7 linked regions of the Rattus norvegicus genome follow. The protein of the gene in region 3 interacts with the protein of the main gene of each other region in a biochemical or structural test. Links are inferred from orthologs where the notes say so. Each region holds a gene or a part of one and is shown on either strand. Other genes may lie near its edges.

Region 1 (3,500 bases), on a different chromosome or scaffold from region 3:
CTCTCCAGCCTCTAGATGTTACTGTTGATTGCTGTTACTGTTGCAAAGATTTATTTCCTTATATATGTATGAGTGTTTTTCTTGCGTGTATTTAAGTGTACTATATGCATGCCTGGTGCCTGTGGAAGCCAGAAAATGGTGCTGGGTCCCCTAGAACTGGAATTATGGCAGTTGTAAGCTTCCATGTGAGTCCTCTGCAAGAGCAGCAAGTGCTTTTCACCACCGAGCCATCTCTCTAGACCCCCAGGTGTTTAGTTTTATTGTCCTGTCATATTGACTGATTTTTTTTTTCAAACTAAAGTCTCATTTTTGTTGCTAAGTGTTATTTGTATATACTTGGAAAATAAACAATAAAGAGAAAAGCTGCGAATAGCATCCTGGTTTTACAAGGCAGGAGAATCTGAAGGGATGACAGATAGGAAGTAAGGTAGGAAGACATGCTACCTTGTCTTTTCGGCTCCTGTGGTGGTGCGCTCCTGTCATACTAGCATAAGAGTGTTTTCCTGTTGTGTTCCTGGGCTTGTCTTACAACACATGTAGGTTGAGCATCTCCACTACAAAAATAAGGTTATATGCACAGAAGTCTGAATTTTTTTTTTTTTTTATCAAAAACCTCACACTCAAGAAGATTCAGATTTTGGGATATTTGGAATTTTCAGTGAAGGATATTAAACTGTTAGTCTACCCAAGTGCCCAAAAATATACAAAACTCACAGTCTAAAGCATTTTGGGTCCCAACTTTCCCAGATAGTGGTTTCTTTACCTGTGTACCTGTGTTACATTACTACTTTAACCTGTCCTATTGTTTTCTTAGGCTGAGGCAGCGAAATTAGTTCCAATGGGTTTCACCACTGCAACCGAATTTCACCAACGCCGGTCAGAAATCATCCAGATTACTACTGGCTCCAAAGAGCTTGACAAACTACTTCAAGGTATAGTAACCCCTCATCCTATTTTATAAACCCTAACTAATTAACACAGATGGGAGGTGAAAACAAAGCCAGACTATTACTATAGAATTCATCCTAGGGGAGAATACTACATAGAGACGTATGAATAGTAGATTTCTTCAGGGTCTTGACTGGCTGATTCTGTAGGTTTGCTTTTGTAAAGATTTTTTTTTTTTTTTTTCGGAGCTGGGGACCGAACCCAGGGCCTAGGGCTTGCTAGGCAAGCGCTCTACCACTGAGCTAAATCCCCAACCCCTGTAAAGATTTTTAGTTTAGATTTTTCTTTGTTTTGAGGGGAACTGTTTTTGGGGGGGGGTGGGTTGTTTTGTTTTGTTTTTTGGTTTTGTTGTTGTTTTGTGGGTTTTCTTGTTTGTTTTGTTTATTTTTGATTCCTTGGCTTGTATCAACAGATCTAAGATTCAGGCTGAATCGAATGTATTTTGGACTGTAGGAATATCAGCTTCTCATAGATCCTTTATTACAGTTAGGAAAGATTAAGGTAACATCGGAGGAAGCCAGGTGACGTGTACCCAAAACTTCCTTGTATATTTCTTTATAACATTCTACAAATGTAACATTTTTAAAATAAGACATTTTTATTTTTTAATTATGTTTAGTGGTTTTAGGAATTGATTCAGGAGCTAACAATATACTTACATTCCCCGTCTTCTGCACCTATACTCCAGGTGTGAAGATTTGACATACGCATTAGTTACTCATTCTGGCTCTGATTTATAAAATACTAAAATTACCTATCTATAAATTAACTTTTGGCTTTGTTTTGTTTTGTTGAAACAGTGTCTTTGTAGCTCTGACTATATATAAAGAATTAGTTCCCCCTGTTTAAGGAAATAAGTATTATATGTATATTATATCTTAAGTGTTAATTTTTTTTAAGGATTTATTTATTCATTATATAAGTACACTGTAGCTGTCTTCAGACACACACCAGAAGAGGGCATCGGATCCTATTACAGATGGTTGAGCCACCATGTAGTTGCTGGGATTTGAACTCAGGACCTCTGGAAGAACAGTTGGTCCTCTTAACCGCTGAGCCATCTCTCCAGCCCTGTTTATTTTCTAATTTTAACACAAGATTGGAAACTTGATGGCTGGTAATGCAAATGGTTGTCTTACAACTCTGATGACCTGAATCCAATCCCTAGAACCCACAGTAGAGGGAGATAACCCATTCTCCCAAGTTATCCTCTGCCCTCTACCTGTGAGCTGTGGCACATGCCTGCCCAACCTCACACATGTCATACACACAGTACAATAATAACAAACTTAGAAACAGAAGAAGTATATGGGAAGGGGGTGAGCCCAGAGACTCACATCTCCTACCACTGAGCTATGCTTCCTGCCACAAAACACTGTTTAAATACTACTCAGTGTAGTACATATTAGTATGTATGCATGTATGTATGTATGTATGTATGTATGTATGTATGTATGTATCTGTTTGTTTATTGTGTAGTACCAGCTAGCCTGAAACTCACAGAGCTCCCACTGCTTCTATTCCGTAAGTGCTGGGATTACACCTTGTCTGGGAGGTTTTAAACTTTTGAAAACATAGTTGTCCTCATTGTTGAAAAGTTTTTAAGTTTGGTTCTTGCTGTTTTTCTAGTTATTTGATTATTTACTTTTTCTTCCTTCTTGGGATACAAAATAGCCTGGGTTCAGGAATCATGCAGAATTTGAGTTTTAAACCCTCTAAGAAGATCCCCTTCCCTCCAGGACACAAAGGCTGTGTAGAGAGACCATGGCTCCTGCCTGAAATTCCAGCACTTGGGGTGTGGAGGGAAAGGGGTTAGATGTTTAGTGTTATCCTCAGGTATGGGATGAGTTTGCGGCTAGCCTAAACTACATAAAAGCCTGTCTCATTAAAGATAAATAAAAGAATTCTCATTTCTAGTATTTACTTAATGTGCCTATGCCTGTTTTCTTCAAGATGAGGATAAGTCTTCTTATCGCCTAGGCTTTTAGAACTACATGAATGGTACGTTTAAGTAAATTGGACAAGGAGGTTCACAAAAAAATAGTAAATACCAGGTTATATTAAAGCAGCTGAAGCCCTTGTTGGCTTTTCTTGGTTGAGTTCTGTAACTTCATTATGGTAGCAATTACTTGAAGCTGTACATGCAATAAAATTGCCTGAGAACTATAGCAACACCAAATGAGTGCATATGGAGAGATGTGAACATACTGAGGGCTAAGGAATGTAAGGCTAAGCCTGGGAGACTCAGGGATGAGTGCCCAGACCTCCAATTTACAAATAACCTATACTTATTTAAAAATAAGTGTGACTTTTATTTTTGTCGATATTGGGAGTTGAATGTAGGCCTTTTATCTAAGGAGCATTCTACGATTGAGCTGCATTGCCAGACCCAGTGTCTCATTGTACTGTGCGGATTGGTCTTGAACATCCCAGGCAGGTTTTAAACCTTAGAACTTTCTGTTTCATCTTCCCACATAGCTGGCTTACGGGTGTGAACTAGTAAGCCTAGACAAAAAGAAAAGAAGCAAATTAATGAATTGCTGATTATTGAA
Region 2 (4,083 bases), on a different chromosome or scaffold from region 3:
GAGGGAGGCCTCATCTGTTCAATCCTCAGGTCCTAGCCCGGAGGTGCATTCTTTTTTTTTTTTTTTGGTTCTTTTTTTCGGAGCTGGGGACCGAACCCAGGGCCTTGCGCTTCCTAGGTAAGCGCTCTACCACTGAGCTAAATCCCCAGCCCCCGGAGGTGCATTCTTTTCACAGACTCACCCACTCATCCTGCAAGGCTTTCAGAATGGCTGGGATGCTGGTGGCAGAGGGAGGCTTGGGCCGGATTGGATGAGCAACTGCCAAGAGAGGCAGCAAAGCAGGTATGAAGAACTAGAACCCGGGAACTCTTCCCCTCCCCCACTCACAGCCACCATCTTCTCCACCAGATTGGCACCACCTCCCACTCTTGAAGGCTGAGCTGAGATGGCCTTGGACCAAGGCTATTGGGCAGGCACCTTTGATGTCGATGAGCTGCTCCTCTGAGAGAGGCTGGTTGTTGATAGGATCTGTGCCATTCTCTGCAATGTACTTCTCAATGAGTCGCCGCTCATACACATGATTAGAGACAGGGGACACGCATGGGTGCTCTGGCACTTCGTTGGAGACTATAGAGAAAGACAGGTAGTGAGCCACAGGGTAAAAGGAGACTCTTCACTGTGTCAGCCCCAACAAGACCCTGTCCTTTATAGTCAGCTATCAGGAAGCAAGGTCTGTGACAGCAAGCCTGCCTGTACTTGGTCCCACAATGCTTGCCAACTACTTACCTAGAATCTCTGGTCTGCTGATAATAAAAGTCAATAAATAATAACTGCCCAGATCCTATGTGCCAGTGCGGTATAGAGTGGTCGATCTCTTTTTTGAACCCAGATGACTAGGCACATGACAGAGAAGTACACAGAGCACAACTCAAACTTCTGTCATCCATCGGGAGCCCGAGATGGATCAACAAGAGAAATTACAAAGCCATGTGACAAGCACTGATAAATTAAAAACAAACAAACAAAAACTTTCCATTGCTCTGCTACTACGTGCCAGGCAGAATTCTATTCTAAGCGCTCGACAGAATAGTCTGTGTACCCTTGAAGATGGGACTTACAGCTGTCACTGACCTCCAGGACAATGCAGAAGCGAAGCACACACTTGATAAACATCAGAGCAGATTAAATAAGTGCAAAAGTACTGGGGCTCAGAAAAGAATATCCCAAAGTATGGAGCCCTGGGCATGCCAAACTACCAAAAAAAAAAAAAAAAAAAAAAAAAAAAAAAAGCCTCAAAAGCAAGAACCAAGGTCTCTCTGACCTTCTCAGACCCCCCTTGCTTCTCTACCTTCCCCTAAAAAAGACAACTGGATCACTCAAGCAGACAAGTGAAAGCTACCTCCACATCAGACTCTTCTGAAGGCCGCTCTAAGATAGTGACTTATCACATCACAAAACAGCTCTTATTCATCACATAATTCTATTCGCCTTCCCATAGGTTGTGAGTCAACAACCCAAGGCTTCAAGCTCCTATCCTTCTCAGTGTCTTCCCTTAGAGTCACTTAATTTTGCAGGACTCCATGCACATGTAATTAAGTATTTGTTTCAGTACTTAAAATCCCTATTTTTGTATATGGCTTTCCTGTCCTATTCTGTAGGTTTATCTCACTACTCAACGACTGAAGCTTTCTGAGAGCTTTCCCTCTCCTACCAGAGGAAGGATGGCCCTGGGCATGTAAGAGTGTTGTTTCAAAGATGAAAAGGAAACAAATCGTTCATAAATACTTTGCAAACTGCTATTTCTTCACTATGAGACTTCCTTTTCTGTTTGTCATTTCCCTCCTTCCTTTCCCTCTTTGAATTAATGGCAACGTTCTGAGAGGGAAAGAGAGAAAGTGAGGAAACTAGTAATGGGGTAAACAACTGGGAGAACACCCGCAATGCCGTAATACAACACCCAAAGACAAGACCATATACTACATGGGAAAACCATGGATCCAGGCTCAAAGAACCGAGCTCCATGGCTTAGTTTCGTCGCACACCCCTGGATAAACCCATTCTTCAAGTCTTCCGACAACCTCTGTAACACACGGATCTTTATTTCCCTTCAGACAATTCTTGTAAGCATAAAATGAGATCACCGTTTGGAAATGCATCGTAAATCAATACAGGTTTTCTAAACATTCGCTGTTTTCATTAGTCATACTGCGCGAGGCTAGAAGCCAGACACCTGGCTTCCAGCCCTGGTCTCGAAGTCACTGCATGATCTCTGCAAATCAGAAACTCCAATTCCTAAGCGAGGTTTCCCAAGCAATATCCATTGCAATGCTTTCAATTTTGCAGGTGGGGAAACTGAGGCCCAAACCCGCTAGAGCCCAGATCACAGTCGGAGGCGGATCCTGGACACGTCCTCGGGTTTTTGACACCAAGAGCTGTTTTTCACTGCACCAGCTCCTCCCCCCACTTCTGCTCAGGCCTGTCTCAGCTCTGTAAAACGACGCTGGCTTCAAAAGACCCCTGAGACAGTCATTCTTCCCAGCTACGTGAATTGCGCATCACTGCGCAAATGCACCCTGCACGCAGGGCCGGGGGCTCTAGGGCCCGAGCCACAGCGGCCGCACACGCTCCCGCCTCCCGCCGCAGCCAGCACTCACTCGAGCAGATCAGGGACATGGCGCCGTCGTAGCGCTGCTGCCAGTCGCCTCACAGCGGGTTCCCGGACTAGCTCTGCAGCCTCCGCGGGCCACTTCCGGTCCCCCGCCGCTTCCGGAGCGCTCGGACGCGGGTAGACAGCTGCCCGGCGTGGCGATGCTCGCACAACTGCTTCACGTGGGGAGGTGGCCGGTGGCGCGCCTCAGCCTTCTGCAGCTAACGGAAACTGCCCTTTCCCAGCATGCAACCGAGCAGGAAAAGGCCCGCCTCGGAACACTCGGCTGTTTCCGCATTGGCTCGGCTTCTTCCGGCGAGTTTTCCAAGAGGCCTGAGGCGGGAAGGAGAGCAGAAACTACATTTCCCATGAGGCTGCGGGGATCTTAAACCTAGGAATCTGGCCAAGGCTGTTTTTGAGGCGGAGCTGCTGTCACCCAGGGAACACTAGTCTTTGAAATGTTCGTGTGCAGGACAGATTTCTCAGGAGCTTGTAAAAATGCAGATTCCTAGGGTCTGCCTTAGAGAGTCTGTAGGTATGATTCTGAGCCTGTGTTCCTTGGCTGCCTTTTGAGAAACAATGTGACCCCGTAAATAAAGCACAAATGAGTAAAGAAGCTAACACTGTCTAGGTTCTGTCTCTACTCTTGCTCTGGGAATTTGGGCAAGTCCCTGGCTTCGTTGCCTGCTACGTTTTAAATATAGTCTGTTTTCTAAACTCGAGGGAATTTAATTCCTGGCGTTTATGTGAATATTTAAAAGAATGGAAAGTTGATGGGTGTGTTTGCACAAGTCTTTAAGCACAGGCACTGAGCTGCAGAGCCAGGCAGAACTCCGCGTTCAAGTCCAGCCTGATCTGTACAGTGAGTTCTAATCCAGGACAATCAGGGCTGTGTAGAGAAAGCATGTCCCAATAAACAAACAAACCGTAAGAGTGGAAAGTTAACAGGACTATGGTGTTTTTCTGTGGTTTCATTTTTGTTTCTGTTTTTCAAGACAGGGTTTGTGTGTGTGTGTGTGTGTGTGTGTGTGTGTGTGTGTGTGTGTGTGTGTGTGTGTATAGCCCTTGGCTGTCCTGGAACTCAGTCTGTAGACAAGACTTGACTCAAACTCAAAGATCTTCCTGTCTCTGCCTTTTGAGTGCTGAAATCAAAGGGATGTGTCATTACTATCTGGCTTAACTGTGGCATTTAGAGGTGGGATCTTTGGAATTAGAATAGGACATAACAAGAATCCTGGTGGGGTTCTTATAGGAAAGAAAGTGAACAGGCACAAATGCATGAGTTGACTTCCATAGTTGTGACACCAGAAGAGGCCCTAGACATTGCCTGTGTCATTCCCTGTGAACCTTGTGCTTCTAGAACTTTGAGCCAAGAGGGCCCTCTTTTCTTTAAAGTAGCCTGCCTCCGATATTTGTTAGAACAACGGTTCCCCGCCACCTACCAACTGTTTATGTTTTCTCTAACAAAAACCAGACCGGCCGCTGGGCCTGATACC
Region 3 (3,500 bases):
TCTGGTATTCCATTTCCGTTGCAGCTTCCATTTAAATGTGTTCTTAGTGATCCTCTTCCTACCTGGTCTAACCTGCGTTCTCTTGGATGTTTGAATCATTTATTTCTATTGTACTCTGAATACCGCTTGCTGCTGCCCCGTTATTGCCATAGTGTACAATATAGGTTTTCTTCCTCACTGTCTCATTTCACTGTGCGCCCGATCCATCACTGTCATCCACAGCAACTTATAATGCTATTACAGGACATCCTGAGAATTAAACGTCGGCTAGATTCCTGTTTTCTTCTCACCTAGTTGCTCTCTTAAACTAAAGACAGCCAGTAGACAGCCAGGACCAGGAATACAGAATACCTGTCTGCTCTCAGACTTGGGAGCAGGCTGAGTCTGAGTCTAACCGGGAAATGCAGAGAAGCTCTTTAGGCACTCTCCTAAAATTTATTTCTCTACAGTTTTCTCTTTAAAACTGTAGGATAAGGCATGAGTGTTTCACCTCGGTGTATAGAAATCAAACTCGCCCTTGTGGGTCCCAAGGACCAACCTCAAGTCCATCCAGCTTGACAGCCAGCACCTTCGCTTAAGCCGGCAGAGTGGCCTGAGGCCCTGCATGTGAGCTTAAATGAGTGGCAGGTGCCCAAGGATGTCAGGAGGAGGACATCAGATCCCCTGGAACTGGAGTTATAGATGTTTGTGAGCCACCATGTAGGTGCTGGGAAGTTGATCTTGTGTCTCTGCATAAGCAGCCAATGCTCTTACCCTCTAATTCATCTCTCCATCCCCACCCCTAAGCCTTCTTATGTATTCAGTTCTGTCGAGCTGAGGGTTAAAACCAACAGCTCGTGCATGCTAAGCAAACTCTTCCACTGAGCTACACCCACAGCCCTAAAGCTGTCTAAACTGGTTTCTAACATAGTCTCTTTAAATGGCCATAATTGGTTTTGCTCCTCTGGAAGAACCAGTGTAAGCCAGGCATAGTGGCAAATGCCTTTAATCCCAACACTTTGGGAGGCAGTGGGTCTCCGAGTTTGATATCAGCTCAGTCTGTATAGAGAGCTCTACCGACAGCCAGGGCTACACAGTGGGAACCTGGCCGTGGGCTGGGGGAGTGGGTAGCCTATCTCTGAATTCAGGATCTACCTGCATTTTGCAGTTTACTTGCCATGACTGAGTATAAACAAAAACAAGAGCTTCTGTGAAAGGTTCATCGAAAAGCAGGTATCTCCCCTGCCGTGACTTAGTTCCTTGCTGGTTACTTACCAGGGATTTTCCATTTAGAAGGTCTTAGTCATGGGTATGTTTGCATTCTCTCAAACTTACTTAGTTCAGGCGCTGTCAGGGCTGTGACTCGCTGTCTGTCACCACCAGTAAGAGTTTGCTGGTTCACCTTCTGTCTTCATGTTGTCTTCGGGTTGTCCTGACCCACAGCAGCTGGTTGAGGAGTGGCAGTAGAGACTGACTGAAGGGCTCGTTGGGCCTAAAGGGTTTTCTGGCTGGTCTGGGGAAAGGCTTACCGATCCCTCAGGATAAGGGTAGAAATCCCTGTGTAAGGAATGATGTGCTTGGCCAGCAAGGTGACTCAGTATAAAGTGCCTGCCCCTGAGCCTGACAGCCTGAGTTCGCTCTCCCGCACTCACCTGGTGAAGGGAGATCACCAAGTTGTCCTCTGGTCTGCTGGCCCTCACACACATGCTATGGTATATATGAATACATGCAAAACCACTATATACACATTGAATAAATGTAATTTTGAAAAATAATTTTTAAATATTCTGTGTCAAGATAACTCAGCTGTTAAAGGCACTTTTTCTGCTATCTTGGAAACCTGAGTTCCCTGAAACCCACAGTGGAAGAAGAGAACTGACTCCTGAAAGTTGTCCTCTGACCTGTGCACACATGCATACTTGCATTCATATACTTGTGGACATCATATACACGGATACATGTATGTAATAACTGTAAAAAGAATTAAGTGGCCAGGTGTTATGGCTAAGCACTCTAGAGACAGAGGCAGACTGACCTCTCTGAGTTCAAGGCTAGCTAGTGAGCTGCCGTCTCCAACAAGGGGAAATGCTGTGCCTGACTGCTGGTTTGTAACCTCTGTGGGTTTGCGTGTAGCACGTGTGATTTCTGAAACCACAGCGTTAGCGACTCTGTAATCGCTCGGTGAGTATGGGACTAGAATATGCACACACTCACTACTAGAAGGAGGAGCGGCTCTGAGTCACTTGTTCCAGACCTGTGTAGCCCGCTGATGCCGGCTCCCTTTTCTCCTGCAGGCGGACTATTTCAGCACTGTGGCAACAGTGGTGTTTCTTCGCAAAGAGAACTGTATGTACCAGGCCTGCCCGACCCAGGACTGCAATAAGAAAGTGATTGACCAGCAGAATGGGTTGTACCGCTGTGAGAAGTGCGACCGGGAATTTCCCAATTTCAAATACCGCATGATCTTATCGGTGAGTAGAGTGGATCATGAGAAGCCTTATGGTGTTCATGGACTGACTGTCATAGGCATGACACTGGAGGGTGTGGTTGGTGGTGAGGAAGTCACAGATGAATTTGGACTGGACAAATTGTAAATAAGGAAGGCTTTGCCCTGCTGGACAACACTGTCTCAAAAACTAAAAGATGTCAAGCGTGGTGAAGGAGGGGAGAGAACAAATCAGTAAAATAAAAAGAAAGGAACCCATTATTACCATGGAGGCTCATTTAAAAACTTGCAGTGCGAAGCCTTTTGCATTAAGAAGGAACCGCTCTAACTGGTGCTTCTATGTCTGTGGGAGTTGAGTTGGCCTAGCTCCTGAGGTCTAAACTCACATCTCCAACAGACTGAGCTAGACCACATTTTAAACTTCTTCCTATGGCATAAGACTGGCATAGCATTACCTGCACTTAACAATGCTAGCCCAGCATAGCCTCCCAAGTGTGCTCAGAGCATTCCATAGCCTACGCTTGGTCAGAAGCACCTGACACACAGCCCGCTTTATGATAAAAGTATCGAGTAGCCCCTGTGATGTATTGGATACTGTACTAAAAGTGAACCTTCTCATATGAGGGGACTGTTAACCAAAGCACAGAGATGGGCCTGTGTATGATGCAACACCTTTTCTCCTTGGAATTACTTTAAGTGGGAAAAGATAATCCCCCCTCCTTGTTGTGTCTTCCTTTTGTTATTTACTCGCTGAAATAATAGAGCTGTGGTCTTTTTAGGTAAATATTGCAGATTTTCAGGAGAATCAGTGGGTGACGTGTTTCCAGGAGTCCGCGGAGGCCATTCTTGGACAGAACACTGTGTACCTTGGGGAACTCAAAGAGAAGGTTGGCTGCGTGTTTGTCAGCATGGTGATGTGCTTGCCTGGTGCCACTGAGCTGTTGCATGCTTGCTTTGGGTGTGGTGTCTGCGCTCTCACTGCACTGAGTGAGAACTTAACCTGTGTCCTCTGTGTGTGTCCTGTGAGGTGATGGCCTTGGGGACCGTAGAGCACATTGCACAGAAGCACCAGCCG
Region 4 (4,199 bases), on a different chromosome or scaffold from region 3:
CATTTTCTCTTTTCAGTTTCCAGAGTGTCTTTCAGGGTTTCATTGGTTCCTTTGCCCTTGTCTTCTCCAGACACTTTAAATGTGATCCTTCTGCTGGCCACTAATCACTCATTAGCAAAACTGTAATCATGGAACATGGGGCCATCTGGGAAATACATCAAGGGAGCTAACAGAGACATACTGAGACAGCGACTTCATGTTCCTTTAAATATGCGGATCCTAGCATGTAGTGGTCATATGTTAGTGTGTATATAAGCTTTGAACTACAAAGGAAGGGTCACCAGAAGGGAAAAATGAGAGTCATGGACATGGTGCCAGGACATGGGAGGCTATGGGGGTGGGGGTGGGCAGTTACAAGATGGGGGTATTAGGGGGCTGGGGATTTAGCTCAGTGGTAGAGCGCTTACCTAGGAAGCGCAAGGCCCTGGGTTCGGTCCCCAGCTCCGAAAAAAAAAAGAACCAAAAAAAAAAAAGATGGGGGTATTAGGGTTACTGGAGAAGGATGAGAAGAATTAACACAGACCAATAACATTTCACAATTCCATAGTGAAACTTAATATTATGTATGTATATATTATAGCTATATATAAAAACAGATGTTTATATACACAAACATACACACATGTGCACATACATATGCCAGTGCACATACACACAACATATGCACACACACACACATGCCTGCTGCTGTGTGTGCTAGGATTAAAGGCATGTGCCACAATCCTCAGCTTAATATATATTTTTGAAAGGCATAATCATAAAGTAATTTTTCCCCCTTTGGAGCTGAGGACCAAGTGTTCTATCACTGGGCTAAATCTCCAATTCCAGAAAGTAATTTTAAATGTTAGCAGTAGCCAGGTGGTGGTGGCAGCAGCACGCACCTTTAACCTGGGCACTCAGGAGGCAGAAGCATGATGATATCTGTGAGTTCAAGCCCAGCCTTGTTTACAGAGCCAGTTCCAGGACAGTCAAGACTACACAGAGAAAACTTGTCTCAAAAAAAGCAAAACCAAACAAAATAAAAGTAGTAAAAATAAGAAACTCTTGATGTAGTGGCATTATCACTTTTGTGGCTAGCTATCTAAATGCAATACATTTTAATTGTGTTAATCCTGAAAGAAAGTTACAAATAGAAATGTAGAGGGAGGGGGGAAAAACAGATTAGACTGTCCAGAAACAACAAGACGACATTGGAAGGAAAGCTGAGCTCAAGAGTCAGTTGGCGCCCGCCCTCCTGTAATTCCTCCGGCCGCGGTTTCCGCTCCCTTTCGCGCTCTGCACTCCCAGGCAGCCCGGGCCGTAGCTTAGCTCGGCTCTGATTGGCTCCTTTGAACGTCTACGTGCAATCGGATTGGCGGACCCGGGGAGCTTTACCGCGGTGAGTTTGAAACTGCTGGCACTCGGCCTCTAAGCTCCCGGAGTCGCTGCGTCCGCGCAGTCCGGAACTGCGGTGTGGCCACCGCGGGAACAGAGAGGTATGGCGTGAGTCCGGCAGGGTGCCGGCAGGGCCTGCGGGGGCTCCACGGGAGCCGGGGTGTCCCCCCGGGGGGGGACAGGCAGGACATCCTGTGAGTCCGGGGGACCCCCTTGTGGACGGGTAGAGCCTCCACGTGAGATCATGGTCTCCTGTGGACGGGTAGGGCCTCACCTGAGTCCAGGGTCCCCTATGGACCGTCATGGCCTCCCTGAGCCTGGGGTCCCCTATGGAGGTGCAGGACTCAGCTGAGCCTGGGATCGATCTCCTATGGATGAGCATGGTCTACCTTAGCCCGGGGTCCCCTATGGAGTTGTAGGGCTCACCTGAGCCTGGGGTCCCCTATGGATGGGCATGACCTCACCTAAGTCCGGGGTCCCCTTTGGAGGAGCATGGTTCCTCTGAGCCCCAGGTCCCCTATGGAGGGGCAGGGATCACCCGGGGCTGGGATCCTCTATGGAGGAACAGGACTCACCCAAGCCCGGGGTCCTGCAGACGAGCAGGCCTCGCTGGAGCCCCGGGTGTGGGCGGGGTGCCAAGTTGGGTCCCAGGCCCTGCTGGCTGCCTGTGCGGAGCTGGGCTGCACCAGACCAGCTGCTTTCGGAGGCCTTCAAGTCGGTACTGCCGGAGAAACAGACCCGTGGTCGTTCAAAAAGCAATCCCACCAAGGTGCAGAGCCAAGAGAGTGTAGGATCGTTTATTTTTAGTTGCGGGTGCTTATAGACGGCCACAGACGCTACCCAGGCTAAGAAACAGAGAGAGGGAGAACCGCGGATACCATCGCATCCTTCATCGTCTTAAAACATAAGTAATGATGAAGGTCTTGGTGCGTGGACCACCATACCCCTATCCCAACCCCCCAAACTTGGATACCCTGGGCAGCTTTTAACACCAGCCCCAGGAGGCTGGAAAAGGTTGGAAGGGATGAGCCCAGTTTTGAAGACACTTTAACTCTTTGCTGTCTGTGCAGAGGTGGCGGCACAGTTTAATGTACTATAGTTCTGTTACGTCTCTGTGTTGAAGAAAGGGGATTTGGGGGGGGGGGAGTAATTTCTTAAACATATACATAGTTGAGAGTCAAACTTAGGCGTATGAGAATCCCCAGGGTCTAGTGGGATGCCTGGCAAGGCTCTTGGACAGGTTTACATTTTCTTTTTGATTTTTTTTTTTTTAATTTGTTGAGCCCCTGTCTCCTTGTGCAGTCTCAAGAGCTGGGATTCCAGGCTGTGCCACCACACCCCACAGAGCTGATTTTACAGTGCAAAGGGATCTGTAAGGACCAGCTCACAAAAGGTCAGCTATTCCTTGATGTTCATTGGTAAGGATCTGCCCAGGGCTTTCAAGGAAAAGGCGCTTAGTTTTTTCTTTTCTTTTTTTTTTCTTTCTGCCATTCTTTGTGAGCCAAGGTTTTTTTTTTTCCTTCCTTGCTCATGATATTTTTGCCGGTGTGATTAGGGTTTTGTTCAAACTGTCTTAGTCAGGGTTATTATTGTTATGGTGAAAAGCCATGCCCAAAGCAAAGCAACTTGGGAAGGAAAGGGTTTAGTTGTCTTGTACTTCCTCGTCACAATTCCATAACAGAGGAAGTCTGAACGGGACCCTGGAGGCAGGAGCAGATGCAGAGGCAATGGAGGGGTGTTGCTTCCTGGCTTCCTTGACATTGCTTGCACAGCCTGCTTTCTTCTAGAAGGAAGGCCCCTCTGCCCAGGGATGGCCCCTCCCACAATGGGCTGAGCCCTCTCCCATCATCACTAATTAAGAGAATACCCTAAGGGCTTGCCTACAGCCCTATCAGAAGCATTTTCTTAACTGAGGTTCCCTCTCTGGTGACTTCAGCTTGTGACAATGTGACCTAAACTGGCCAGCTCCTCACCTCACATACTTCCTTCTAAGGGGCTTATTGGCATTCCCTCCAAGTCTTGAGTCTTGAGTGGGATTGTCTGTGGCTGGTTTCCGAAAAGATTTACTTCACTTGTGCAGCTAGGAGTTCATGCTGTTTCAAGTGAATTGAATGCTTTTAAGGTAAACAGAAGCTTTTATTAAAAAATGACTGTCCTTCCTTTCTAGGGGTTGGACTTTACAGTTGTACTTTGTTTCCTTCTCAGACAGGGCTGCAGCAAACTAGGCCACAGGTTGGCCTCGAACTTGCTCTTCCTTACGGTAGGATTACATCATGCACAGCTTCCTTCTCACAGATTCTCATTGTTTTAAAGGAAAAAAAAATAAAGCAATTTTAGTACAGTAGCAACGTGTTGAAATACTGGCATTAAAATCATTATACTTCCGTTTTGAAACTTTAAGTCCCGAGGGTCAGGGACTACTGCTTATTTCTTTTGAGACATAGTATCACTAAGTCGTTTAGCTGGCTGTGTGACAGTCTCCTTAGTAGCTGGGTCGACAGGCCTGCTTGGTTTGTGAATGTGAAGGGGCCATGTACAACACTGTATAGAATATACAAAGGCAGTGTCTGAGAAGGCTCGGAACGCTTCACTGCAGGAGCAGGTAAAGCCCAACAATACTGCCTGAAGGAATGGCGGATAGTGGCAGGCTATGCTGGAGGTGATGGAAAGCACTCCTCCGGGACGTCTGTCTTCCGGATACTTCCGACTGTTTGAATTATGACCACATGACCACAGCCATGTTTCTCGTCCTTTTAGGGTCCGTTGTAACCTGTTGAGTAACTATGGAGGACTATATCAAAATAGAGAAAATCGGAGAAGGTGAG
Region 5 (3,500 bases), on a different chromosome or scaffold from region 3:
ACCAAAATGTCCGGATTACATAGGGAAGACCCTCTGGGGAAGGGCAGCCCAGCCCCTAGACTGGAAAGTTCAGGATTGGGGGCAAGGTATACCAGGCAGGGACTGAGGGATGCTGGGAGAACAAGGAGGCCACGTCTGCTTTGATGTGTAAAATATGCACCTCAGTCCCCTGTTCTGGGGTCTAAAACCAAACAATAACCAAACAACATGTATAGGATTTATGATGTCAGTGGCGAGTGTTTAAAATATTCATGTTTGGGGGTAGAGAGATGGCTCAGTGGTTAGGCGCACTGGCTGCTCTTAACCAGGGTTCAATTCCTAGCACCTACATGGCAGCTCACAACTATCTGTAACTTCAGTCCCAAGGGATCACAGACGTATACGTAGGCAAAAACAGCACTGCATATAAAAATAAATAAACCTTAAAAAAAATTCATGTTTGTTTAACTTGTTACAGCTAATTGCTACACCATGTATGCCTCAGAGAAACCAAGCTTACAAAGCAGAGCTATGATGGTAAGAGAGTGAAGGCCATGAAACTAGAAAGGACAAAGGTTAACTCTTCCAGGACACGTGTACAAAAGAGAATACTATCATGCTTTTCCAGAGGGCGCAGACTGAAGAACTGACGTAGGTCCTCAAGAAAATCTTTCTTGAGAGCAAAGAACGACAAAGAAACGCTTGAACTCAGCCACCAAGTCTTATCCCTTCACTGACGCAAATTCTTATTTAAATCTACTCACATTTTGAGGATAGCAGCCACAGCATCAAATATAAAAACAATCTGTCTTTTTTATAATACCTGGCATGTCGGAGACTGTCATAAAATGTGGAGAATTCTCTGTTTCTTAGGCACTGCAGAGCATTATACAACGATTCGTGGTAACTGGTTCCTTCTAGTTCTTGGCTGCGAGATGATTAAAAAACAAATTTAAAAATGGAAAACTCTGAGATATGCATCTATAACTAACTCAAAGAACAATGTTGAGAACTAAAATTAAGATTTCTCATAAAAGTTTGCAGAGATTAAGAAAAATATGTAGCTGGTGCAGCGGCATATGCCTTTAATTGGTAGGCAGAGAGAGGTGGATCTTAGTGAGCTCAAGGCCAGCCACAGTCACATGGTAAAATCCTAACTCAAAATATAAACAAAGGGGGTTGGGGATTTAGCTCAGTGGTAGAGCGCTTGCCTAGGAAGCGCAAGGCCCTGGGTTCGGTCCTCAGCTCCGCAAAAAAGAACCAAAAAAAAAAAATATATATATAAACAAAGAGAAAAAAAACAAACAAGCCAAAGCAGTAAAAGGCAGTGAGAAGAGGAAAGCATTTTACAGGTCATTTAAATTCTTTAAAAAAAAAACCAAAAACTTAGAAATTCTAGTTGGTTCTCAATTTTACATTTAAAATAAATATTTAAAATGAGAGCAGTTGAGTGGTGGTGGCGCGAGCCTTTGGTGCCAGCACTCAGGAGGCAGAAGTAGGATCTTCTGGTCTACAGAGCGAATTCCGGGACAGCCAGGGTTACACAGAGAAACTGTCTCAAAACAAACACAGAAAATTCACCTACATATGAATAAATCCGCTTTTTATACCACTCCTAACATGAAATTTGATAAACACTCCAATTTATGAAAACATTTTTCCATTAAAGTAATTAAAATGACTTAATTTTTTAGCATTCTATCAGACTTTTTTATGTAACTATTAAATCCTTTAGTAGTCTAGGTGTTTTGGTTTTCATTTAAAAAATACAATGATTTGAAATACAGGCTACAACTTTTATCTTCTTGGGTAACTTGGTTTGGCAGTACTTTATAAACTGCCTGGTTATCTGTTTGTGGTAGCCCTGGCTGGCTTAGTACTCACTATGTAGTCATGGCTGGCATCGAACCAGAGATCCACCTGCCTGTGACTCCCAGTGCACCACTGCTCCTGGCCTAGCACTACTTTTTAACAGCAGCAACGACAACCACCACCACAAAACATTAACAAAGGTAACTGATTTTATCACCCAGCCAATAGAAATGCTTTTGACTACAATGTAGCAAGAAGTGGTAGGGAGAAGGCCTACACTTGTCTTTAGATTCCTCAATTCAACAATCAATATTTTCACAGGAAAAGGCATTTTTAAAAATTTCTATCTACAAAACACTTGAAGCAGGGGATAGAATTTCTCTGGTGGAAAAAAATAAGAATGAAATTCAACCTTCATTGTGCTAGCTGCCTATTGTATACTAAATATTTAGTCATATGTGCGGCCCATAGTGTCTGTACAATATATTAAAAAACAAAAGCCAGCAGCACTCATAGAGAAAACAACCAAATGCACAGTTTCAGGGTCAGATAGAAGCAGTGGGGAGAGGCTGGTTTGCTCTCACTTGGCAGAAGTGCAGAGGTCCCACTGCATGTTCCTCCACGCCGCCTGGTAATGAAGCTCCTGCAGTTCCCCACACCACTCTCTCCTTTCATGGTCCAATCCTTTCAAGTAGATAGAAAGAATATGGGAGAGCCCCAAGTTCTGCAAGGCCTGAAAGGAAGTTATCACAAAATGAATACATGATCAAATACGTCAGGATAGAGTAGACCAGTGGTCTCAGCCTTTCCTAATCCTGAGACCCTTTAGTACAATTCTTAATGCTATGGTGACCCCGAACCATAAAGTCATTTTCACTGCTACTTCATAACTGCAATTTTGCTGCTGTTATGAATCGTAATTTAAATATCTTGCATGTGACTTCTGTGAAAAGGTCAGCCAGCCCACAAAGGGGGTCGCGACCACAGGTTGAGAACCATTGAACTAGCGAGAAACCCAGCCCCCACCCCCAAATTTTAATTTCAAAAATTTTAATTAACAGTATCACTTAAAACTCTAAAATATTGCTTAGCGTGTATATTTCTCCTCAGAGAATGTTAATGTTTGGTGGAAAGATACCTAAGCCTATTATAGTAAAAGATAGGACAGTTTCCTGGACCAACTCTAAAGCAAACTAGTGCCATGTGAAGCACTACGAGTGTCTCCTGGCAGGCATACTGTACACACTCCAGAAGTGTCTTCTGCTGTTGGGTAATAAAAGTATTATCAACAAACTACAGTGACCTGTGCAGCTTTCCAATGTGTACTGAGGTGCTGGCCTAATGTCTGACAGCCTAACTCCACTGACGACAGCTTTACGGAAGCAGGCACGGATGGCAGTGTACCTGGATGATTCCCGACTGGCGGGTGGAGGAGGAGATGGTGGTCTCAAGGTCGTATGTCACTAAGGCTTTCTCCCACGTTGCTTCATGCTCGTACGTCCTTATTCTGTAAGAGATGACGGTGAAAACATCTTTTGTTTCTGTGCGCATGGAGCTCCTTCGAAAGGCAGAATCACTATCTGAAAGGTGCAACTTACCGGGTAAGGGGTTGTAACACTTTCCCTCCCCCGCAGCCATACAGGCTGTCTGGCTCTCCTATACTTCTGTAGATCTCCAAGAGAAGATCCTGAAAAGAAAAATACCAAAGG
Region 6 (3,500 bases), on a different chromosome or scaffold from region 3:
TCTAATGCCCTCTTCTGGCTTCTGTGGGGGCCCACGTTCACGTGCATATACCCACACAGAGATAAAGGCACAACTAGGGCTGGAGAGATGGTTAAAAGCAGTGAAGTTCACTAACTTCTTCCAAAGGCCCCGGGTTCAGTTCTCAGCCACCCACGTGACAGCTCACAACCATCTGTCACAGACTGTAACTCCAGTCCCAGGAGGGCTGACAGGCGCCCTTGGTCTGGCCACGTGAGGGTGCCAGGTGGCCCACAGTGTACATCACGCATGTGGCAAAGCATGACTGCGAATGAATCTTGGATAAGATGAATTGACATGGTAGTTTCTCCGGCCCTTTCTCTGTTCTTTATTGTTCCTGTCTTTGAATCTTGAATTAACCTCTTTTTGTAGGTGATGTGCTTGATATTTGTCCAGACGGCTTCCTTTATATTTGTCTACTTGAGACTGGGTCTTACTGTATAGACCACGCTGGCCTCAAGCCTTTACTAATGCTAGAATTGTAATTACATCCTACCATGCCCACCTGTCTCAATAGCTTTACCAAAATACAAGTGTCATAAAATTAAATTGTACAGATTTGTAAGGTCCGTTATCTTTTTCCCTTCTACACACTCACGGGCAGCCACCGACCTGCCGTTCGCCGGTGCACGTTCCAGAACGTTGTATAAATGGCACCATACAGTGTGTGCTTCTTTTTGTTCTTAGAGCCATATTTTTATGCAAATTGGTAGTTTATTACTGGGTGGTATTTCATTATATATATACTTGGTAAATCTGTCCATCCATCTCTTGATGGATATTTAAAATGGATTTTGCTTTTTAAAAATTTTTTAAGTATAACCCTAAGGTGCTTGGCATGGTGGCACATGCATCTGATTCTAGCACTCGAGTCAGAGGCAGGCAGGTCTCTGAGTTCAAAGCCAGCCTGGTCTACAGAGCAAGTTCCAGGACAGCCAGGGCTACACAGAAAAACATTCTCAAAAAAAAAAAAAAAATGTGTAACTGGGAAATTCTCGTTTTCATTATGTGACTAGCTGTTCCCTAGGGACTTGGATTCCAGGAAAGGTAAGCAAATCACTTTTGAAAGGTGCTAATTACTTTAAAAGACAGTTCTGTTTTGCCATGATTTACCTTTGTGTTCCTGTTTTAACTTTCTTCTTTGGTAGGCTTTGGTGTTAAGATGCTGAGTACTGCGAACATGAGAAGCAGTCAGTACATCCCTATGCATAGCAAGCAGATTCGTGGACTAGCTTTCAGCAATCAATCCAAAGGCTTGCTCCTCTCCGCCTCCCTTGACAACACCATTAAACTGACCAGGTAAGGGAGTCGAGGGAAAGATGGGGCCTGGGTCACTGTGCGTCAAGTTAGTCTTAGTGTTATGGTGCCCTTTTTTTGATCTGAGCCAGTGTCTTCTTGTGAAAGGATATACGCAGCCAAACACATACTTTAAACCCAGCATGGAGAGGCAGGCAGATCTCCTACAAGTTTTAGGCTGACCTATAGTGAGTTCTAGGACAACCAGAGCTGTGTAGAGAGACCATCTCTAAATAAATAAATGAATGAAATAAAAGTCTATATGTTCTGTGTGGTGATTGACACCTCTAATCCTAGACTTGGGGTCCTGATAGGCATGAGGATTACCATGTGTTTGAAGTTAGCCTGGACTACATAGTAAATTCCAGGACAACTTGAACTACAGAATTAAACCCTGTCTAAAAACAAAGACAGAAAAGTAGACATAAACTTGGGGGTTGTGGTAGCAAATGCCTGTAATTCCAGCCCCTAAAAGGTAGAGACCTGGGGGTTGGGGATTTAGCTCAGTGGTAGAGCGCTTGCCTAGGAAGCGCAAGGCCCTGGGTTCGGTCCCCAGCTCCGAAAAAAAAAAGAACCAAAAAAAAAGGTCATGAGGAAGCAACCCAAGAGCATGAGACTGGGCAAAAAAGGAAAAATTTAAAAGTAACACAGGAGGTCACTGAGTTAATGTGAGGTAGTCTGACTCGTGTTCGTTGGTTTTTGTAGTACTGCAGATTGAGCCTGGGTCTGGAATGTGTGTGACAAGCATTCGTCATGGCTCTCTCCATGCCATTTTTTTTTTCTTTTTTTCTTTTTTTCGAAGCTGGGGACCGAACCCAGGGCCTTGCGCTCGCTAGGCAAGCGCTCTACCGCTGAGCTAAATCCCCAACCCTCTCCATGCCATTTTTATTTTTAACTCTGTGGCTCTTGGTAATTTACCTAGGCTGGCTTTGACCTTGTAATTGTTATTCCTTTGAGTAACTGGTATTTTGGGCCTGCATCAAAGGCTGGGCTATTCTAATTCTTTAAAATTTCACTTAAAAGTTTTACTAGAGGGATGTGTGTGCTCGTGTCTGTGTGTGTGTGTCTGTGTGTGTGCGTGTCTGTGTATGTGTATGTCTGTGTGTGTGTGTGCGTGTCTGTGTGTGTCTGTGTGTATGCGTGTATGTCTGTGTGTGTCTGTGTGTGTGTGTGCGTGTCTGCGTATGCGTGTCTGTGTGTGTGCGTGTCTGTGTGTGTGTCTGTATGTCTGTGTGTGTCTGTGTGTGTGTGCGTGTCTGTGTGTGTGTGTCTGTGTATGTGTCTGTGTGTGTCTGTGTGTGTGTGCGTGTCTGTGTGTGTGTGTCTGTGTATGTGTCTGTGTGTGTCTGTGTATGTGTCTGTGTGTGTGTGTCTGTGTGTGTGTGTGTCTGTGTGTGCGTGTATGTCTGTGTGTGTGTGTGCGTGTCTGTGTGTGTGTCTGTGTATGTGTCTGTGTGTGTCTGTGTGTGTGTATGTCTGTGTGTGTGTGCATGTCTGTGTGTGTGTCTGTGTATGTGTGTGTGTGTGTCTGTGTGTGTGTGTCTGTGTGTGTGCCTGTGTGTGTGTGTGCGTGTGTGTGTGTGTCTGTGTATGTGTCTGTGTGTATGTGTCTGTGTGTATGTGTCTGTGTGTGTGTGTGTCTTGTTTGCCCTCGTGTCTGCTGTACACCACCTGCATGCAGTACTTGCAGAGGCCAGAAGAGGGCATCAGGGACTGAACAGAGTTCCAGGTGGTTGATGGTCCCCATCTGAGTGCTGGGAACTGAATCCAGATCCTCTCTGAGAAAAATAGGTGCGGTTGACCACTGACCCATCTCTTTATCCCCTAAAATTACATACTTTAAAAGTCCATATTAAACTATTTGAATGAGAGCAGTGTTCTATAGATGTTGGGATATAATGTGGGAAGTCATTGTCTCCTCATAGAATTGCAGTGACAGCTCAGGACTGCTTACTCCAGGTCTGTCCCCCGGGTAACTAGTAATATGAGACCTGAGTGTGATCTATTCCTTTGGAGCTACCTTCCTACTCCTTTTCACTCTAAGAAATCTTTAAAGGAACTAGGCAGTAGGGACACATGCCTTTAAGGCAGAGGCAGGGAATCTGTGAGTTCGAGGCCAGCCTGGTCTGTAGGGTGAGTTCACAGACAGCCAAGGCAACACAGAGAGACAGACCCTGTGTCAAAAA
Region 7 (3,500 bases), on a different chromosome or scaffold from region 3:
CTTTCCTGGGCATTGGGCCTATCTTGCAGGCTTCGACGATGTGGTAAACTTCAGTTTTATATAACTATAATATAATTTTTAAATGTAGTTACCTTCAAATTAAATGTAGAGAAGTGAAACTGTCTTTACTGTAGTACAAAGCTAACTGATACGGAATCATAACAAGCCTAACATTTTGATCTTCACATGCTTTTATTTCACGATGACTATTTTCTCATTATTATATTTTCCTATATTTTCTTTTGTCTTAGAAAAATGGAGAGCAAATGAGCAAAATACGTGTTTATTTTTTTCTTATGAGGAAACAAGATTCAGATTACTTGTTATTCTCTATGTGTGCATGAATTAATATGTGTGTGTGCCATATCCCACAGGAGGTCAGAAAATAATCTCAAGTCGGTCCTCACCTTCTACTTTGTTTCAGAAGAGTTTCAAGCTAGCTGGCCATTGGCTTCCAAAATTCTTCTATCTCATTATAAAGCGCTGTATCCCAGGGATGCTCCAAACTCAGTTCCTCACACCAGTGCAGCAGCTCCACTAACTGAACATTTCCTTGGCCCATCCCTCTTTTTTAAAATGCACTGCTAGGAGTGAGCCTGTGGCCTCTTACCTGCCAGGCATCCCCTTTTCTTCTGTCCCACATCCCTACTTGTGAAACATGGCTGTAAATGTATGCTTATTTTAAGGAAATAGTCCTAAGGAAACGCTTTTAAAGACTCCATGGGGCTGGGGATTTAGCGCAGTGGTAGAGCGCTTGCCTAGGAAGCTCAAGGCCCTGGGTTCGGTTCCCAGCTCCGAAAAAAAGAAAAAGGAAAAAAAAAGAAAAAGAAAAAAAAAGAAAAAGAAAAAAAAAAGACTCCATATTTAGTCTATAGTTTCTATGACTTAAGGACATTTTAAAACATTTTTAGAACCACTTACATTATACACTATTACAATCATGTTGTGTTTTTAACCTAAGCAGTAATTTTTAGCTTAATTACATCATGAGGTAGGCTTCATTTTGGAGAAGTTTCTTTTTCAAAAACAAAGTACTTTCAATTGATAAACTTGTTCTTTGAAATTTTTATATACTTATATGATGTATTTTGATAATACTCTTCCAATATTATGATAAACATTTTTATTATGTAAGATTTTGTGACAATATTATGATAAACATTTTTATTATGTAAGATTTTATTATGTAAGATTTCTAAGGACTACCTGAATATGCATGTGTAAGTATTTGTTTGACTGACAAAGTCAGGGTTTGTTGGGTTTTTTGTTTGTTTGTTTGTTCACTTCCTGTATAGTTCTAATGTTTAAGAAAGTGTGTCCCTATTCATAGACGTTAATTTTTAGCTTCTAGATAACCAAGGTAAAAGAACATTTTAAAATACAAATTTACTACATACTCCTACTTACTCTTTCTTATGATGCATAACTCAATATAATATTCAAATTTAACAAAGAATTTCAGTCTTGTCTTAACTATAACACTCATTATTTTTTAGGTAGAAATTCTTTCTTCTCTTCAGAAACCAAAGAAAATCTCCTTAAAGGGCTCAGATGGAAAATTCTATATCATGATGTGTAAACCAAAAGATGATTTGAGAAAAGACTGTAGACTAATGGAATTTAATTCTTTGATTAACAAGGTTGGAAACAGTTTGCTTTATAAAGATTTGTTTATATTATTTTCAGTGTGTGTGTGTGTGTGTGTGTGTCTGTTTGCATCTCTATCACTATGCACATGTGTACAGGAGCCTGCTAAGTCCGAGGCATGAGACTCCCTGGAGCCTTAGTCTGATGACTGTGCACCACCTGAGATCGGTCCTGAGATCTTAGTCCGCAAGAAGAACAGCAGTGCCTGACCTGCTGTGCCGTCTACCCAACCTCATTGCTTTTATTTTAGAATTAGGAAAATAATCGTCATAGTCATGTGGACTTCTTAATAGGCAGATAGATTACTGTTGAAATGGAATGTATCTTTTAATTTTCATTTTTGTGATAAAATGTACATACTATCATTTAAATCAGTTTTCAGTGTCATTGAGTGTATTCTCATTGTTTATCTTCTTGTCCATTATGAATGCTTGAGTTTCTTCCACCTGATACTTTGAATGAGTAAACCAATATTTGTTCAAGTCCCTCTTATCAGATTTTTGGATATATTCATAGATTTAAATTGTCTCCTTTACTTAATGTTTAACAATTATTATTTTATTTTTAAGGGATGTAAGGCATTAATGAAGGAAAATATTTTCTACTTAATGGCTTTATATAAAGCACTCTATTACTTATCTAGAACCCAAGGTTTCTGTTTCAAAGCTAGAAAAAAAAATGGGTTCTGTTTTCACAATGTCACTGTTTAAAAGTAATCATTAGCATTGATTTTATTCTGTTAGTAAGTGCTTGCTATCTGACTCAAAGAAATATGGGAAGTCTAATTTAAGACTTATTAGCTAGGAGTGGTGGTGGTAGCACCATTTAAGGGACTCAGTCAGGAAGGTTTCAAGCATAGTTAGGCTTCAAAGAATCATCTACAGGGAAAAAATAATTTTTCTGTGCGGAAGTCACAGATCTCTGTGTTAAAAAAGAAAGAAAGAAAATCAAGCAAATAAATCATTATATGTAAGCCAAAAATGACTTGAGAAAGGATTGAACTAATGGAATTCATTTTTATTAGTAAGTTTTGTAAACAAGACCCAGTCTCAGAATTAAAGGTTAATTATATCTATTTATACATAGACATACATGCATTACTGGTTTGGGCTTGTTTTTGGTAGATAGTATGATTCCTTATGAAATTTTTCAGAGAGGAAAGTAAAATAGCAATTCTTAGATAAAATGAAACATCAGTCTCTGTGCTTAAGTACTTATCGATAGTTAATCATGATCTATAACGCAGTAGAAAAGAAGACAATAGCGTTTTGTCATTGATGTGGTTATAAATACTGCTTTTCAAATGTAGTATTCTGTTAAATGCATAGTAGAGAGCTAAAAAGAAGCTATTGTACAAGGCATTTTAGGGCTTAAAGGAGAATAGGTACATGATCCCATAGCTTCCTCCTCTAAGTTTCAGAATCATTCATTACAGGCTGCCATCAGCGCATATCCTAGGAAAGAACAATATTTAGATATACATTTGACATAATAGGAATCTGAATTCTATTTTTTATTTCTGTCTATGTTTTCCATAGAGCTTAAGAAAAGATGCAGAATCACGTCGAAGAGAACTTCATATCCGAACATATGCAGTTATTCCACTGAATGATGAGTGTGGGATTATTGAATGGGTGAACAACACTGCTGGCTTGAGACCTATTCTGACCAAACTATACAAAGAAAAGGGTATTGTAGTTATTCTTATGATAGAAGCATATACTGAGGTTGCTAGCTACAAACGTGTAATATGTAATAATAGTTTTTATCATATCAATGCACATATTTTACCTAAGCCTGGTAGAATTTATATTCTACATATAGAAGCATGTAGGATCTTCTTTCTTCCCTTC

The links.
Region 1: the proteins of Rpa1 (region 3) and Rad51 form a complex in vitro, tested with the Homo sapiens proteins (2 studies listed by BioGRID). The link is inferred for Rattus norvegicus from reciprocal best matches to the Homo sapiens genes RPA1 and RAD51.
Region 2: the proteins of Rpa1 (region 3) and Prpf19 form a complex in vitro, tested with the Homo sapiens proteins (2 studies listed by BioGRID, with this or other methods). The link is inferred for Rattus norvegicus from reciprocal best matches to the Homo sapiens genes RPA1 and PRPF19.
Region 4: of the proteins of Rpa1 (region 3) and Cdk1, one has a biochemical effect on the other in vitro, tested with the Homo sapiens proteins (2 studies listed by BioGRID). The link is inferred for Rattus norvegicus from reciprocal best matches to the Homo sapiens genes RPA1 and CDK1.
Region 5: the proteins of Rpa1 (region 3) and Atm form a complex in vitro, tested with the Homo sapiens proteins (3 studies listed by BioGRID, with this or other methods). The link is inferred for Rattus norvegicus from reciprocal best matches to the Homo sapiens genes RPA1 and ATM.
Region 6: the proteins of Rpa1 (region 3) and Rfwd3 form a complex in vitro, tested with the Homo sapiens proteins (3 studies listed by BioGRID, with this or other methods). The link is inferred for Rattus norvegicus from reciprocal best matches to the Homo sapiens genes RPA1 and RFWD3.
Region 7: the proteins of Rpa1 (region 3) and Atr form a complex in vitro, tested with the Homo sapiens proteins (2 studies listed by BioGRID, with this or other methods). The link is inferred for Rattus norvegicus from reciprocal best matches to the Homo sapiens genes RPA1 and ATR.

Annotation. Positions count from the first base shown.
Region 1 is NC_086021.1:126,564,210-126,567,709, forward strand, and holds part of Rad51 (DNA repair protein RAD51 homolog 1), read left to right. Parts: intron 1-814; coding exon 815-932; intron 933-3,500.
Region 2 is NC_086019.1:216,965,224-216,969,306, reverse strand, and holds the start of Prpf19 (pre-mRNA-processing factor 19), read right to left. Parts: upstream 2,801-4,083; 5' UTR 2,614-2,800; coding exon 2,595-2,613; intron 568-2,594; coding exon 418-567; intron 259-417; coding exon 182-258; intron 1-181. UniProt on the Homo sapiens protein: Ubiquitin-protein ligase which is a core component of several complexes mainly involved pre-mRNA splicing and DNA repair. Required for pre-mRNA splicing as component of the spliceosome.
Region 3 is NC_086028.1:60,653,280-60,656,779, reverse strand, and holds part of Rpa1 (replication protein A 70 kDa DNA-binding subunit), read left to right. Parts: intron 1-2,273; coding exon 2,274-2,450; intron 2,451-3,204; coding exon 3,205-3,312; intron 3,313-3,500. UniProt on the Homo sapiens protein: As part of the heterotrimeric replication protein A complex (RPA/RP-A), binds and stabilizes single-stranded DNA intermediates that form during DNA replication or upon DNA stress.
Region 4 is NC_086038.1:19,263,894-19,268,092, forward strand, and holds the start of Cdk1 (cyclin-dependent kinase 1), read left to right. Parts: upstream 1-1,399; 5' UTR 1,400-1,475; intron 1,476-2,676; exon of another isoform or gene 2,677-2,767; intron 2,768-3,584; exon of another isoform or gene 3,585-3,634; intron 3,635-4,131; 5' UTR 4,132-4,157; coding exon 4,158-4,194; intron 4,195-4,199. UniProt on the Homo sapiens protein: Plays a key role in the control of the eukaryotic cell cycle by modulating the centrosome cycle as well as mitotic onset; promotes G2-M transition via association with multiple interphase cyclins.
Region 5 is NC_086026.1:62,752,130-62,755,629, forward strand, and holds part of Atm (serine-protein kinase ATM), read right to left. Parts: intron 3,479-3,500; coding exon 3,390-3,478; intron 3,299-3,389; coding exon 3,196-3,298; intron 2,525-3,195; coding exon 2,376-2,524; intron 908-2,375; coding exon 803-907; intron 1-802.
Region 6 is NC_086037.1:56,153,816-56,157,315, reverse strand, and holds part of Rfwd3 (E3 ubiquitin-protein ligase RFWD3), read left to right. Parts: intron 1-1,166; coding exon 1,167-1,317; intron 1,318-3,500. UniProt on the Homo sapiens protein: E3 ubiquitin-protein ligase required for the repair of DNA interstrand cross-links (ICL) in response to DNA damage. Plays a key role in RPA-mediated DNA damage signaling and repair.
Region 7 is NC_086026.1:105,382,822-105,386,321, forward strand, and holds part of Atr (serine/threonine-protein kinase ATR), read left to right. Parts: coding exon 1-43; intron 44-1,496; coding exon 1,497-1,640; intron 1,641-3,185; coding exon 3,186-3,336; exon of another isoform or gene 3,337-3,500. UniProt on the Homo sapiens protein: Serine/threonine protein kinase which activates checkpoint signaling upon genotoxic stresses such as ionizing radiation (IR), ultraviolet light (UV), or DNA replication stalling, thereby acting as a DNA damage sensor.